Linked DNA regions of Drosophila melanogaster. The gene in region 1 interacts genetically with each later gene. Each region holds a gene or a part of one and is shown in the gene's direction. Other genes may lie near its edges.

Region 1 (4,134 bases):
ATTGGAAAGCTAAATTGCTATATATTTTGCCATTAATTTGATTTTAGTTTAAGCTAATGGAAAATTATCATCAGTGAGAATAAATTAGGTGGTTATGGTAATTAAATTTAATGGAATAATAATAATACCTAAATTGAAAGTCTAACACGTAAACGCCATGAACCATGTGGTCGTTTTTTGATAAATTTCACTATAATCTCTAAATTTCAAGATTATTAGTTATAAAGGCATAGTGGCCAATGCAGTACATAGTATATTAAATATTTCATCAATCACATTATCTGTCGACAGTTTTATTTTGTGCGAACACGTCAATTATGAGTAATAGATTTTTCGCTTTATCAACTGGCAAGAACTTTGGAAAATTTGTCAATTATTAGTACTTCTATTGTCAACTACAAGTCCTATGACTCTTCTTGCTTCTTTATTATTTATGAACTCATTGCAAGCATTGCAAAATGTTCTCTATGGTTTGGTTGTTGGAAACACCTCATCAAATACTATATACCCCCCTGATCGCTTTAATCTCAGCGGGCAATGCGAACAGCTGATTTCATATTTGCTCTCGCAAATTTGTAAAAATAAATACGGCTGACCAATAATAAATGCGACGAGACAACCCCCCTCGATGCCGCCAACCCGCAAAAAACCCCTACCTTTCCAACACCCATGCCGAATTAGCAAAGTTCCCTGCCTTCCGAAAAGATGGAGATCTACATTCGTGTGCGAACCGCATAGAACCGCCCGAAACCAGAGCGGCAGTGCGAGCGGGACGGCAATGGACCAGAGGCGGTCAGTTTGGACGGTCTGGTGGTCTGGGTCTTTGGGACTCGGCGACTGGGCCGCGGACATCTGACGTCGTTGTCGACCATGCTCCGGCTACGGTATTATATCATGTGGCCAAGACGTTGGTGTGGTTTTTGGTTGCGGTAGTATTGGTGTTGGTGATACGGACGGACGGACGGAGTCCCGTATTTGTTCAAAGTACTGCATTGGGGCTTTATCTTAATGCGATAGAATGAGAGTCGGATTCGTGACACGTTACGGAAACATTTCAACTGGCGTTCTATCTGCTCTGCTGAGGGCCGCACGTCGTCTGGCGGTAAACAAAAAATCCAGCGCACTATGATTTAGCGTTGTCCGTTCGACGGTTTTATTGCCAAAAGTTTGAGAATTTATTTTGACTAGTTTTTTTTGAGCTGTTTCCTTGTATAACACAATTGCTTTCAAAAATGTTTACGTGTTTTATGGCTTTTATTTTGGGGGGAAATAGAAACGAGTAAGAATTTTAATTCTTATGTAAGGTTTATTATTTTAGCTGTTTTTCAAACATTGATGCCTTTCGTCAGTTGAGGAATTTTAAAGCTAATGTTCATGGATAATGAAATCGGCCAGCTCTGGTGATAGCTTCTACCCTTTTTTTTTTCTTATCTATTCTGCTTACTCGGTGACTGTCCTCCCGCATTGATAAGAGTGGGAATAGTTGTTTTCTCGACACATCCGCAATACGAAATTCTAGAAGTAATAATAGATCTCGGGCCAATTGTTATCAGCTTTTATGCGGACGTCATGCGGTGAAGCAAATGGAATGCTATTTTTCTTCGATCGTCAAATAATTGGTCGTAATTACTCGCAGACTCTGTCACTTGGTGATTTTTGTTGAATCATTGCTCGATTGCAATTTGTTTGATACTGTTCCTTAAGTGCTTCTATAGGCTGAGAGAAAAGTGAATAAAAGTAGCGTACTTTCAGGCCCATACGAGCACAAGTACATTGTAATTCCGTCAATTTGGGAAATTCCTATTGAACTGTAAGATAAGGTTTCCAAGAGCAAATATTGATTAATAACTCAATTTATGGTTTTAAAATTTTTTTTAAGTTTCTAGCTAATTTAGTAGCTTGAAGTCAGACCTAGCTTCTGCATTTTGTTTTAAATAAAACAGGTGATTTCAAATTCCTAAAGATTCCTGTATAATGAAAAAATGTCGTTTAAACTCGATTTATTTTTCGCCATTTTGTACAGTACTCGTAATCGGTCTGGTCAAGATAACGGCCGAACTATTTAGATAAGCTGACAAGTGTATGTCAAACTGAACCCAAATCACTGTGCGTCGACGTCGCTGCCGCAGCGAAGGCGGCTACTCTCGTCCGTTGGTCATGTGTGCGATTCAGTCTGCTCGCTGAATTCGCCGCGTTCGCTCTGTTCGCTCTGTTCTGTTTGCCTCGTTTTGGCCCGTCCGTTTGCCAAATTTCGTTTGCTTTTTGTGTTCCCGTTGTGCAAGAACAGCCAAACAGAAACAACAACTACACTAGTACAAGTACGTGCAGCAACAACAATGGCCATTGGCTAAAAAGCAGCTAGAAATTGTTGCGCTCCTTGTGTAAAACATAATTATTTGCTCTCAGTCTCAAGAATCCCTCACTCTCTTTCTCTTGCTTTCACTCTATCTCCCTCTCTTTTGCTCGTTGGCTAGCCAGAAAAATAGTATTTTCGTCGTCAACGTGCCATAATTTCTTTTTTCTGCTTAGCCAGCAAAAAAATAGAACTTTTGGACTGGGAAAAGTTAGATGTGCGTTTGTGTGAGTGCGTGTGAAAAAAGAACTGCAAAAGTTAACGTTAAATTAGCGGGCTAAAAGAAAAACCCAACCACCCGCCGCCCCACTTATGTGAACAGCACGTGCTTAGCTGCAGTGAAAATAAAACAAAAAAAAATTAAATGTGACATTTGAAAAATTATACATTTAGCTGAATGTTGAATGTTGTTCGTTCGGCTTTCGTTTTGATTTTGATCTTTTCGATTTGTTTTTGTATCCTTGATTCCGCTCCTCTCCACAATCTCTTCTTAATTTGAATATTGATGTATAATTTTAAAAAGTTTTCTCTCACTCGTCTTTCCTTTTGCCTTTGTTGTTGGAAAAAAGCATACAAATAAAACCGAACGAAAAACACAACAAAAAGAATACGGGGAAGCGCACGAAAAGTTTGCCTTCATACGAAAATAAATGCAAAATGAGAAATTTTCTTAAATATTTTTATTTGCGAATATAGCTTCATGAATTAAGAACAAAATAGGAAAGCTGGAAGAGCCAAAAAATAGAAAAATTCGCACTCAAGCAAAACACCAAACGGAAGATCCAAAGCAAACAACCAACCAACAACATCAACAGCATCAACTAATATCAAATTAAATAACTAAGCCTAATAACGTATACATTTAAAGATCTATTTATAAATTAATATTTACCATAATGATTTAGTAAGTTAAGCTTAAAGTACAAAAAAAAAAAAATAAGAAAAGCAAAGAAAAAGAAACACCACAACCAACAACAACATCAACAACCAACCAACCAACAGCCACAAATAATTAATCAATCATTAAACGGAGTAAATTCACAAATCTGTAATAAATGCAAATGACAAGGAAATAACGAAAACGACAACAACAACAAGTCACCGCCAACAACAACAACCACACATCGGCAGCATAATTAACAACAACCAACAACAACAACGGATCAATACCAAAGATGGAGGCAAAATTCTTGGCTAGCGCTCTTTCATTCCTCTCGATATTTTTAGCGATTTATGCTCAATCACTTGGTGAGTACAGCCCCCCGAAAAAACCCCTCTAAATCTAAAAGAATGAACCCCCTACAATAAGCATAATGATAAACAAAGAAGGCCCTTTTAACCTATAAGTTGTACCCCGCCCATAAAATCACCCTGCCCCAACCACACACCCACCCATACACACATATAATATTAACACACCTATGTACGTAGCAGCCCAGTATAAAGGAATACAAAAAATATACATACATATGTATATGGGGGAAAGTATGGTTAAACTGCAGCTGTGATAGCAGAAATTGCAAAACAGAACACAACCGAACCGAACAAAGCAAAACAAAGAGGTGGAGCAAGAGGAGGAAGGGAATAAATAAAAAACAGCAGATTGTTTGTGGCTTACTGTAACACCCACTAACCTTATCCCACGCCCCCTAATTGCCCCGCCACCCAAAACAAAAGTGCACCCACCAAAGGGCGAGGGTGTTCGTCCACCCACCACCTGACTTTTACCCCTTCCAAGTTCACCCTAAAGCCAGACCCTAGCCGCAATAATGGAAACAAAC
Region 2 (4,134 bases), on another chromosome or scaffold:
CGTTTTCCCAGGCCACGGGGAAAAAAGGGTTGTTGCGGCAGTTGAATAAATCCGGGGAAAAGCAGCTGTCGTGTCGAAATTTCCCTCCATTTTGCCGGGTTGCTGACCCCTAAGCAAATACTCGAAAACTAGCAGAAAATGCAAAGTGTCCTTGGGGCAAACCGAAGAGGCGCGCTCTTGTGTCGTTTTCCACTGTGCGAAGGTGGGCGGCTAGTGGTGGAGGAGGCGGGGGTAAACGCCACGTGCGCTGCACTTTTTAAACTTACTTTTCCTTTGGATTTTATCGTTCTTCTTTTCTTTTTGTTGTTTCGTTAAATCCACTCGTTCTGTTACTGTTTATTCGCTATTATGGGCGAATATATGTATATATCCGAATGACTTTTGATTTTGGCTTTGTTTATGGCCGCGCTGCCGCTGGATGTTGATTTTGTCTTAGCCAAGTTTAGCTTGTCGGTTTTGTTTGTTGTTGTTGCTGAATTGCGTTGTTGCTATTGTTGCTGAATTTTGAATTGAACATATACAACATACAGATTGTACACGATTGTTAAAAAGTTGCAACTGTAAAAATAAAAACAAAAAATATTGGTCACATCGGGCACTATTTTTTTTCTCGAGATTTTTGGATTTGCGCGCGCCAGAGAATGAGTGTGGCGTAAAGAGAGGGAGAAAGAGTAAAATCCCCAGCGACAAATGTAACGTAACCCACAACGTAAGCGTCTTCTGTACGTCACCACGCTACGTAGGCCACGTAACGGTATGCTAACGTTACCGACGGCGCCGCAAAACCGCAAAATCAAAAAATACAATAACAAAATCGACAAAATTATAGATTTTCAATGTGCACGTCGGTTTCTTTTTGCTAGCGAAAATCAACTAGCGCTAGTATATTTTGCTTTTGTTTTTTCTCATTTCGAGTGAAACTTTTCGCGCGCTTCTGCGTGTGTATTCCTCTTTTTTCGTTTTTTCTTCTTTTATTTGTTAATATTATTCACTTGGTGACTACACACGTTCATGCTCATGCCCCCTCACTCGACACACACACGCACACACACTGACGAACGTTTCTGCTTCTTGCTCCTCTTTCGTTCGCTTTTGTTCCACCACCGAAAAAAATGAAAAAAAAAATTTGTCATGTCCATTGAAGTCTCACATTTTTCAAATGCATTTTTTGGCGCTAAAATCTTATAAATTTCAACATTTTTCCATTCGCATCTGATCCCCCGCAATTAGCACTCCACTTCGAACACAAATTTATATAATTTTTGCCATTTTTTACCACAATTTTTAGTAATTTCTACACACCGATATATACGTACGCGCTACGATTTTTCGACAAACGCGCGAGTTTCTTCTGAGTCGCCATCAAATATACAAAATTTTTTTTCGAAATTACTGAAAATGCGAATACACACGCACACATGGACAGCCGACGGGCACGAGGCGCACGCGCTTGGTACATGCGGCTATGCCGCTCTAACGCACTGCTTTTATTGATAAATCGAGAGCGGGACAGCTAGAGCTACCGGCCGAGAGAGAGCATGTGAGAAGAGCGTTCTGTGCGAGTGTGTGTGATAGAGAGAGCCAGAGAGCAAAGTAGTCACACATACTCTCGCAAACTCATAGTGGCTTTCGTTCTCTCCTTTTCTCAACCATTTGCACGTACTTTTAGCTTTTTCATATGGCTATTTGGGAAATTCACCAGCAGTTTACACTTATGCTGTTGTTAGTTTTAATCCATTTATACTGGTAGAACGTAGATTCGTCGGCTACTTTACATTAATTTCGTAACGTAAGCGCAACAAAAACAAGGCTGTCATCGATATAAGCAGGCGTTTTTGTCTGAAACTATCGTGCAATAAGTGACTCCGATAACCAGAGTTCCTTTACGTGTTTCTCGATTACTTATCGGATTGTGTTTGCGAGCACAAATGTCTCTTTTAGCGGAGACACAGTCCTCCAAAACTGTGCAACACTGTTCCTAGGCTCGGTGTGACCAGAGCTATTTAACAACACTGGCGAACATCGGATGGCAAATATCGAAAGAACATTGACTGTTGTTCCACCCCCTGCTGACACCATCTGGTAACACTGAACAACAGACCAGATCCGCGGACAAAGCAAAGCAGTAAATATTAATTTAATCCAAATCCAATTCCCGACACCAATTGGCGGCCTTCAGCTGCTGCTTCTGCAGTCGAATTGTATTTTTTTTTTTGGTTTTTCGTGTCACCCGATAAGAGTTAAATTCGCTGATCTAGCGAATAACGGTGGCAAGTAATTGTAATAACTGCGTGTGTGCACAGTGCTAGTGTTTAGTGTGCGAGTGTGTGCGTGTGAGTGGGAACTCCACAAGTGTGCGAGAAGGCAAATCAAAATAAGAAAAGTGCCGCCCTGATGGAAATTAATATCGCGAATTATCAGCGAAAACGCAGCGAAAGTTAAGCCAAAGTGCTGCGATTAATCAGATAGCGGGTGAAATAGTGGGTATTACGTAAGAAATCAATGGATTCCGGGCTGCATTTGCCCAAAAAAAGAGGAAGCAATATCGAAGCGCTACTTTTATCTCCTCTTTTTTCGATGATTTCATTCGCAGTGACGACACACAGGCACGCACACACCGAACGCCGTATCTGTGTGTGGGTTGTTTGTTGAGCTAAAAAAAATAATGAATCCTCACGATACATTCACTCGTTTCATTTTTTTTGTTATTATTATTCATCATATTTATTTATTTCTTTGAGTGTGCATATCGGCGACTTCGCGACGCCAATTGCTGATTACGCCCCCTCCCTTTTCAGTGCAACTTCCCCACCCCGGAGATCTTGCACTCGAACTAAAAATCGAGTAGAGTACGTAGGCAGAAGCGAAAAGAGCGTACAAAAATCAAGAGCTCAGTGGCAGCAGCAGGAATTTGTGTTTGTCAGGGGATTGCCCAGATTTTCGGGGTAATTGTCCACTTTATAAACAGCCAACCGAATTTGAAACCAACTGTAACTGGAAGTAAAAACCAATTTTACCAAAGCTATCAAAAAAAAAACAATAAAAAAAATGAAATCCTCTGCGCGCCGCTGGTTTAACCAGTACGCCCACATGTGGGCGGCCCAGATGTGCCTCGTTTTTGGCCCAATGGCTGTGGGCGTCCATCCGTGGTTGAAACTATGCGCTGCAGATGCTGTTTACTCAGGCGGTTTATAGTATTACGAATTTGCTAGCTAAAAAACTGATTAAAACTACTACTAAGTGCACAACTCATAACTTTGATATGCTGTGACTGGGTGTATAAATGATAATCGAATGAAATTATTCAATCCAAGGGTATATAAACATGGGCTTAGTCGTTTTTAGTTTGTTTTCCTTTCGGCACACGATCTGCTGCAAATCAAGCTCTGTGGTGTGTTAGTGTTCGTTGTGTTGTGTGTGCGTGGGCGTTTAAAAATAGCCGACCAACACAACACCCATACGTATACGTAATCTGCAGCCCTTTTTTTTCCGTTCCGTGCATATGGAATTTTGATTTGAGTCTTGAGTGGCTTGGAGTGAGTGATTCATGTGGCTTTAGGCGGAAAGGAAACCCAGCGAAGCTGACTCAATGACCACTCATTGTTCGTTCGGCCTTTGTTTACATTTTGCCAGGAGCCAAGAGAGCGAGAGAGCGTGCTAACGGAACGTGCTCGAATGAGTAATTCGCATTGCATTTGACGTTTATCGAAAGCTCTCTTCCTTCCGCTTTTTTCCTTTTCTTTTCGGAGGCCAACAAAAAAAAACAACAAAAGCACGCAGGCACGCACACCCACACACAAGTTCGTACATCAATCGCTTGGTGTGTGTGTGTGTTTGTGAGATGAGTCATCTGGCCAAGTTGATGAGAAAATAAAATTAAACATTAAGGTAGAGCGAAAGAAACAACAAAAAAAGGGGACAGATGTGCGGCCATTTGCTGTTGTTTGTTGTTGCAATAAAGAAAAAAGCAGGGCACGCGGAGAAAGCAGTGCTCGACAAGCAGTGCAGTCAGCAGCTGGACTTTTACGTACACCGGCGTTCGTAAAAATTGCAGCGAAATCGAAGAAATCAAATTGTGTCTTAAAAATAAATGAAAGATTAAGGCATATAAAAAAAAATAATATAAAATATGTA
Region 3 (4,134 bases), on another chromosome or scaffold:
GAAAAGCATCATACATATAAACATACATATAATGTTATGGGTTGCATATCAACTTTTTATCAGAAAATGTATGTTAAAAAAGTTAAGAAACGTCTAAAGTTATATTCTATTTACTATACATTTTTTAAATTTGTAGTAATGATAAAAAAGTAGTAAACGTATTTTTATAATTTCGCAATCATTTTAAAGAGCATATAAATAAAATATAAAACTAAAGATTAAGAAAAAAAATTTTTACAGGCATTTTGAACAGATGAGAATTCTGCATATACATAAGTATATCAATAAAAAAAAACTTTAATTAATATATTCCTCCACAATGCTATCAACTCGTTACTGGATAATTCGAAATCCTTAAAAGGATTTAAGTAAAGAATAAAATAAAAAGCAAAACCACATTCGAATTTTGGTGTTCAGAAGTCAAGATTCAACATTTATTTAAAGAGAGGGCTCAACATCGTTTCGCTTCGCAGCGTCTTAAACGCATTTAACCAAACTCCCTCTTCCATCCATTCGATAACTTAAGCCGATTTTGTACCTATAGCGATCATCTAAATATGCATTCCATCTAGTCGCTACCAGCGGTCACTTTGCCGCCATCCGCGCTGCCAAACTTCTCAAACAGCTCGTACTTCCAGCGCATGTAAGCTACGCGCATTCTGTCCCAAACGTTGTCCACGGAGTCCATGGCTGGGCGCACATCCAGCAGGGCAAAGCGGTAGTCTTTGTCCACCAGTCCACCGTCGTAGTAGTCGATGACGTAGCGCACATCCTTGCCGCAGCGATCGACTATCCAGTCATGCCTATCGAATGGCAGCTCGTATCTGTAAGACAATTCGAACATTAATTCAGGTGAGATCTTCCGTCTGGAGTATACTCACCCCAGCCAGCTGCGGAATCGAGCGCGCGGACTGAAGTCCTTGGCCTTGCCACCGAAACTCTTGAGGCGCGGATTGCCGCATTCCTTGGCGTGAAGCGCCTCCCACTTAAGTACCTCCTGCCAGGCCTGCTCGTTGTTGGCATTGTGGATGCGTATGATGTCGCCCATGTCCTTTTGCGATACGTCCTCGGTCTTCCAGCGCCAGCCCTTGCGTAGCATGGCGTTCCAGAACATCTGTTGGCTGGGATACTGCCAGAATTGAACGCTGCCATCCTCGGTGACTTTGGGAATGGTCGACGTCTGGCGGTCGGTGGGCAGTGGAAAGGGCTGATCTGCCGCCGGCTGTTGGTTTGCCGGTGGCATCATATTCAGCGGATTAACGTCGCTGTTGTCGTGCTGCACCGGACATTCGGAAGCGGCCTGCATCTTGGGATGTGGGGGTACGGCGGAGGCCGATTTTGCATCTCCATGCTTCTGATGCATGGGGCATTCTGGTGGCGGGGCACCACTGCCGCTCATGTACTTGGCGTGGTCCACCGGCACACTCTTCGTGGCCTCCATTTGCACTCGGGTGATGGCTGTATTGCCCATTTCTGCTGGGGATTGGTTAATAACAAAATCTGTGTCACGAGGAAAATCGCATTAGTTCTCAGTTGCGTAACTGTAAGGAGTGGGTTACACTCCCAGTGCTGGGCCCCAACGCCAGGACTTACTCGATCCTAATGGTCACAACTCTCGATATTTGTCGATCTTCTCCTGGAGCCTTTCGCCTTAAATTTTGATTTATATTTTCGTTAGTTCATCGTTAGAACTTTTGAGCCCAAAATGCAGCGAGGTTGTGGTCAGGGCTGCCAGACCAACGGAAAGTGGACCAGTTGTTTCTGCACCGTGACAATATGTTAAGTTAAAAATTTAAAAAATCAACTCGCACCGCACGGCAATGTGAGTTTATGGTGTGTGTCTGTCTACAAATGAAAAGCATTGTTGAATTTATTTCAAGTAAATTAACTTGTAGTTAAACACCCCAGCTGTGCTGTGTAGTGTTGAGCAGTCGCTTTGCGATATTTTTAAAAAGTAAAACAAATACATTTATACATTAAAATGTTATTTTGTAAGTGTTATATAAAGTTTTTAAAATACTGGGTTAAATTTCATTTCATATGAAATTCTTTCTGATTCTGAGAAAAGTCGCAGTTAAAGCATAGACAAACATTTTGATTTTACATTTTTGATATTTGAACGGATACCTTGACAGCCCTATTCGGGGAGTTTTCCAACACCAACCATAGCCCGAAATTTGTTTTTGGGTAGACTTCCGATATTTAGATTGAAAAGTGAGTAAATACCACCGGATAGAGCATTAAAACCGACAATTTGGGTAAATCTATGGAGCGCCGCAATGCTGGCCAGCAGAATGCAACGAAAAGATCCGCATATCTGCAGTTCTAGGGCAGAGATTACCGCACTACCTGCGTAGCTCCTGTGATGTAACCACACGACAAATTGCCACTGGACGAGATATAATTGTTATTATCTTGTTTCGTTTTTGTACTGACCCTTGTTTTCCCTTCAGAATGACCGCCGTGTTCCGCGTAGGACTGGTGCGGCTCGTCAGCCGCGCCACACAGTCGCCCAATCTACTCCAGGCGCAGACGAATGCCCTGCCTGCTGCCTTCCAGCAGCGATGCAGCATCTCCGGCAAGACGATGCGAGGTGGACCACGGGTGCCCAAGGCCGCCCCCTATCCGTACAAGACGAAGAAGTACAGCGTGTTCAATGCTATTTTCGACAAGACCTCCAAGCGTTTTGACGAGAACTCCAAGGTGATCTGTGTGGAGGGACCCATCGCGGCCGGCAAGTCAAAGTTCGCCAAGGAACTGGCTGAGGAGCTGGACATGGAGTACTATCCGGCAGTTGATCTGGACCTAATCTACATCAATTCGTACGGCTATGACATGAGGAAGTTGGATCCTCAGTTGCCGCCCAGCTGCCGAAGCTACGATGTGCGCAACTTCTGCCTGGATCCCAGCCACGATCTGGCTGCCCAGTTCCAGATTCGCATGTACATGCTGCGCTATTCGCAGTACATTGATGCCCTGCAGCACGTCCTTAGCACCGGCCAGGGTGTTGTCCTCGAGCGCAGCCCCTACTCGGACTTTGTCTTCATGGAGGCCATGTTTCGGCAGGGTTATCTGTCACGCGGTGCGCGTTCCGTGTATAATGAGCTCCGACAGAACACCATCGGGGAGCTGCTGAAGCCGCATTTGGTTATCTACTTGGATCTGCCGGTCGATGCCGTGAAGAAGCAGATCAAGGCACGCAATGTGGACTACGAGGTGCAGTCAAAGGTGTTCAGCGATGCCTACTTGAGCGATTTGGAGCAGCTGTACAAGCAGCAGTACCTCAAGGACATCTCCACCCATGCCGAGCTGCTCATCTACGACTGGACAGCCGGCGGTGAGACTGAGGTTGTGGTGGAGGATATCGAACGCATCGACTTCAACCAGTTTGAGGCCGATATTCACAACAAGAAGATGCTCGACTGGCGTTTCCCGCTGGAGGCCGAGTGGTGCGAAGCCCGTATCAAGTACTGCCATGAGAAGCCCGATCTGATGAATTACTTCAATGTGCCGCGTTTCGATGTCCCGGAGCTGGTGCGCAGCGCTGACGACGGCAAAGTCTGGCGTGATGTCTGGTTCAATGTAAGTTCGGTGTTTCCATTTCCCTGTTCGATTTCTTTTCACATTAATTCTGCCCCTTTGCACACAGGCTCCCGGCATGAAGTACCGTCCTGGCTACAATGCAGACATGGGCGACGAGGGTCTCCTCACCAAGACGAAAATAGGCATCAACCAGGGCATCTAGAGGGTTTTTGCTATGCTTTCGAGTTGAAATCACCTGGCGAAATGTGTTAATTATCTAATAAACAGTCTAGTAAAATAATCAGAACCCAATTAGTTAAAAAGCGAATATGGTAAATATCGATTGTAAATACTTTTCATACAACAAAACTCGAACTATTGGGTTTATTTATACTTTTTTTTTAACATAAATTTCGAATTCAGCTTAATCATGAATACCCAAACATATTTCGATCCTCTCCAGTTTCATTGATCAACCAGAGATTAATTTTTTGAAATTTTAAGTTAATTTATGCATTATATTAGGGAATACTTTGTACACATTTAGCACTAAAACTTCAATTGCGCTATGGAACATTTGGGTATTCGTTCTGCCGCGGATACTTCTTAATC

Evidence for each region.
Region 2: of Bsg (region 1) and mys, changing one enhances a phenotype caused by changing the other (phenotypic enhancement), as found in Drosophila melanogaster (2 studies listed by BioGRID).
Region 3: of Bsg (region 1) and ND-42, changing one suppresses a phenotype caused by changing the other (phenotypic suppression), as found in Drosophila melanogaster (one study listed by BioGRID).

What each region holds. Positions count from the first base shown.
Region 1 is NT_033779.5:8,086,136-8,090,269, forward strand, and holds the start of Bsg (basigin), read left to right. Parts: upstream 1-2,168; 5' UTR 2,169-2,381; intron 2,382-2,474; exon of another isoform or gene 2,475-2,570; intron 2,571-2,967; exon of another isoform or gene 2,968-3,258; 5' UTR 3,259-3,528; coding exon 3,529-3,601; intron 3,602-4,134.
Region 2 is NC_004354.4:8,059,601-8,063,734, forward strand, and holds the start of mys (myospheroid), read left to right. Parts: upstream 1-2,044; 5' UTR 2,045-2,125; exon of another isoform or gene 2,126-2,480; intron 2,481-4,134. UniProt on the Drosophila melanogaster protein: Integrin alpha-PS1/beta-PS is a receptor for laminin. Integrin alpha-PS2/beta-PS is a receptor for Tig, wb and Ten-m. Contributes to endodermal integrity and adhesion between the midgut epithelium and the surrounding visceral muscle.
Region 3 is NT_033777.3:22,025,567-22,029,700, forward strand, and holds ND-42 (NADH dehydrogenase (ubiquinone) 42 kDa subunit), read left to right. Parts: upstream 1-2,142; 5' UTR 2,143-2,454; coding exon 2,455-3,582; intron 3,583-3,649; coding exon 3,650-3,745; 3' UTR 3,746-3,827; downstream 3,828-4,134. Other genes in the region: Cchl (cytochrome c heme lyase), read right to left, coding at 569-824, 882-1,471. UniProt on the Drosophila melanogaster protein: Accessory subunit of the mitochondrial membrane respiratory chain NADH dehydrogenase (Complex I), that is believed not to be involved in catalysis. Complex I functions in the transfer of electrons from NADH to the respiratory chain.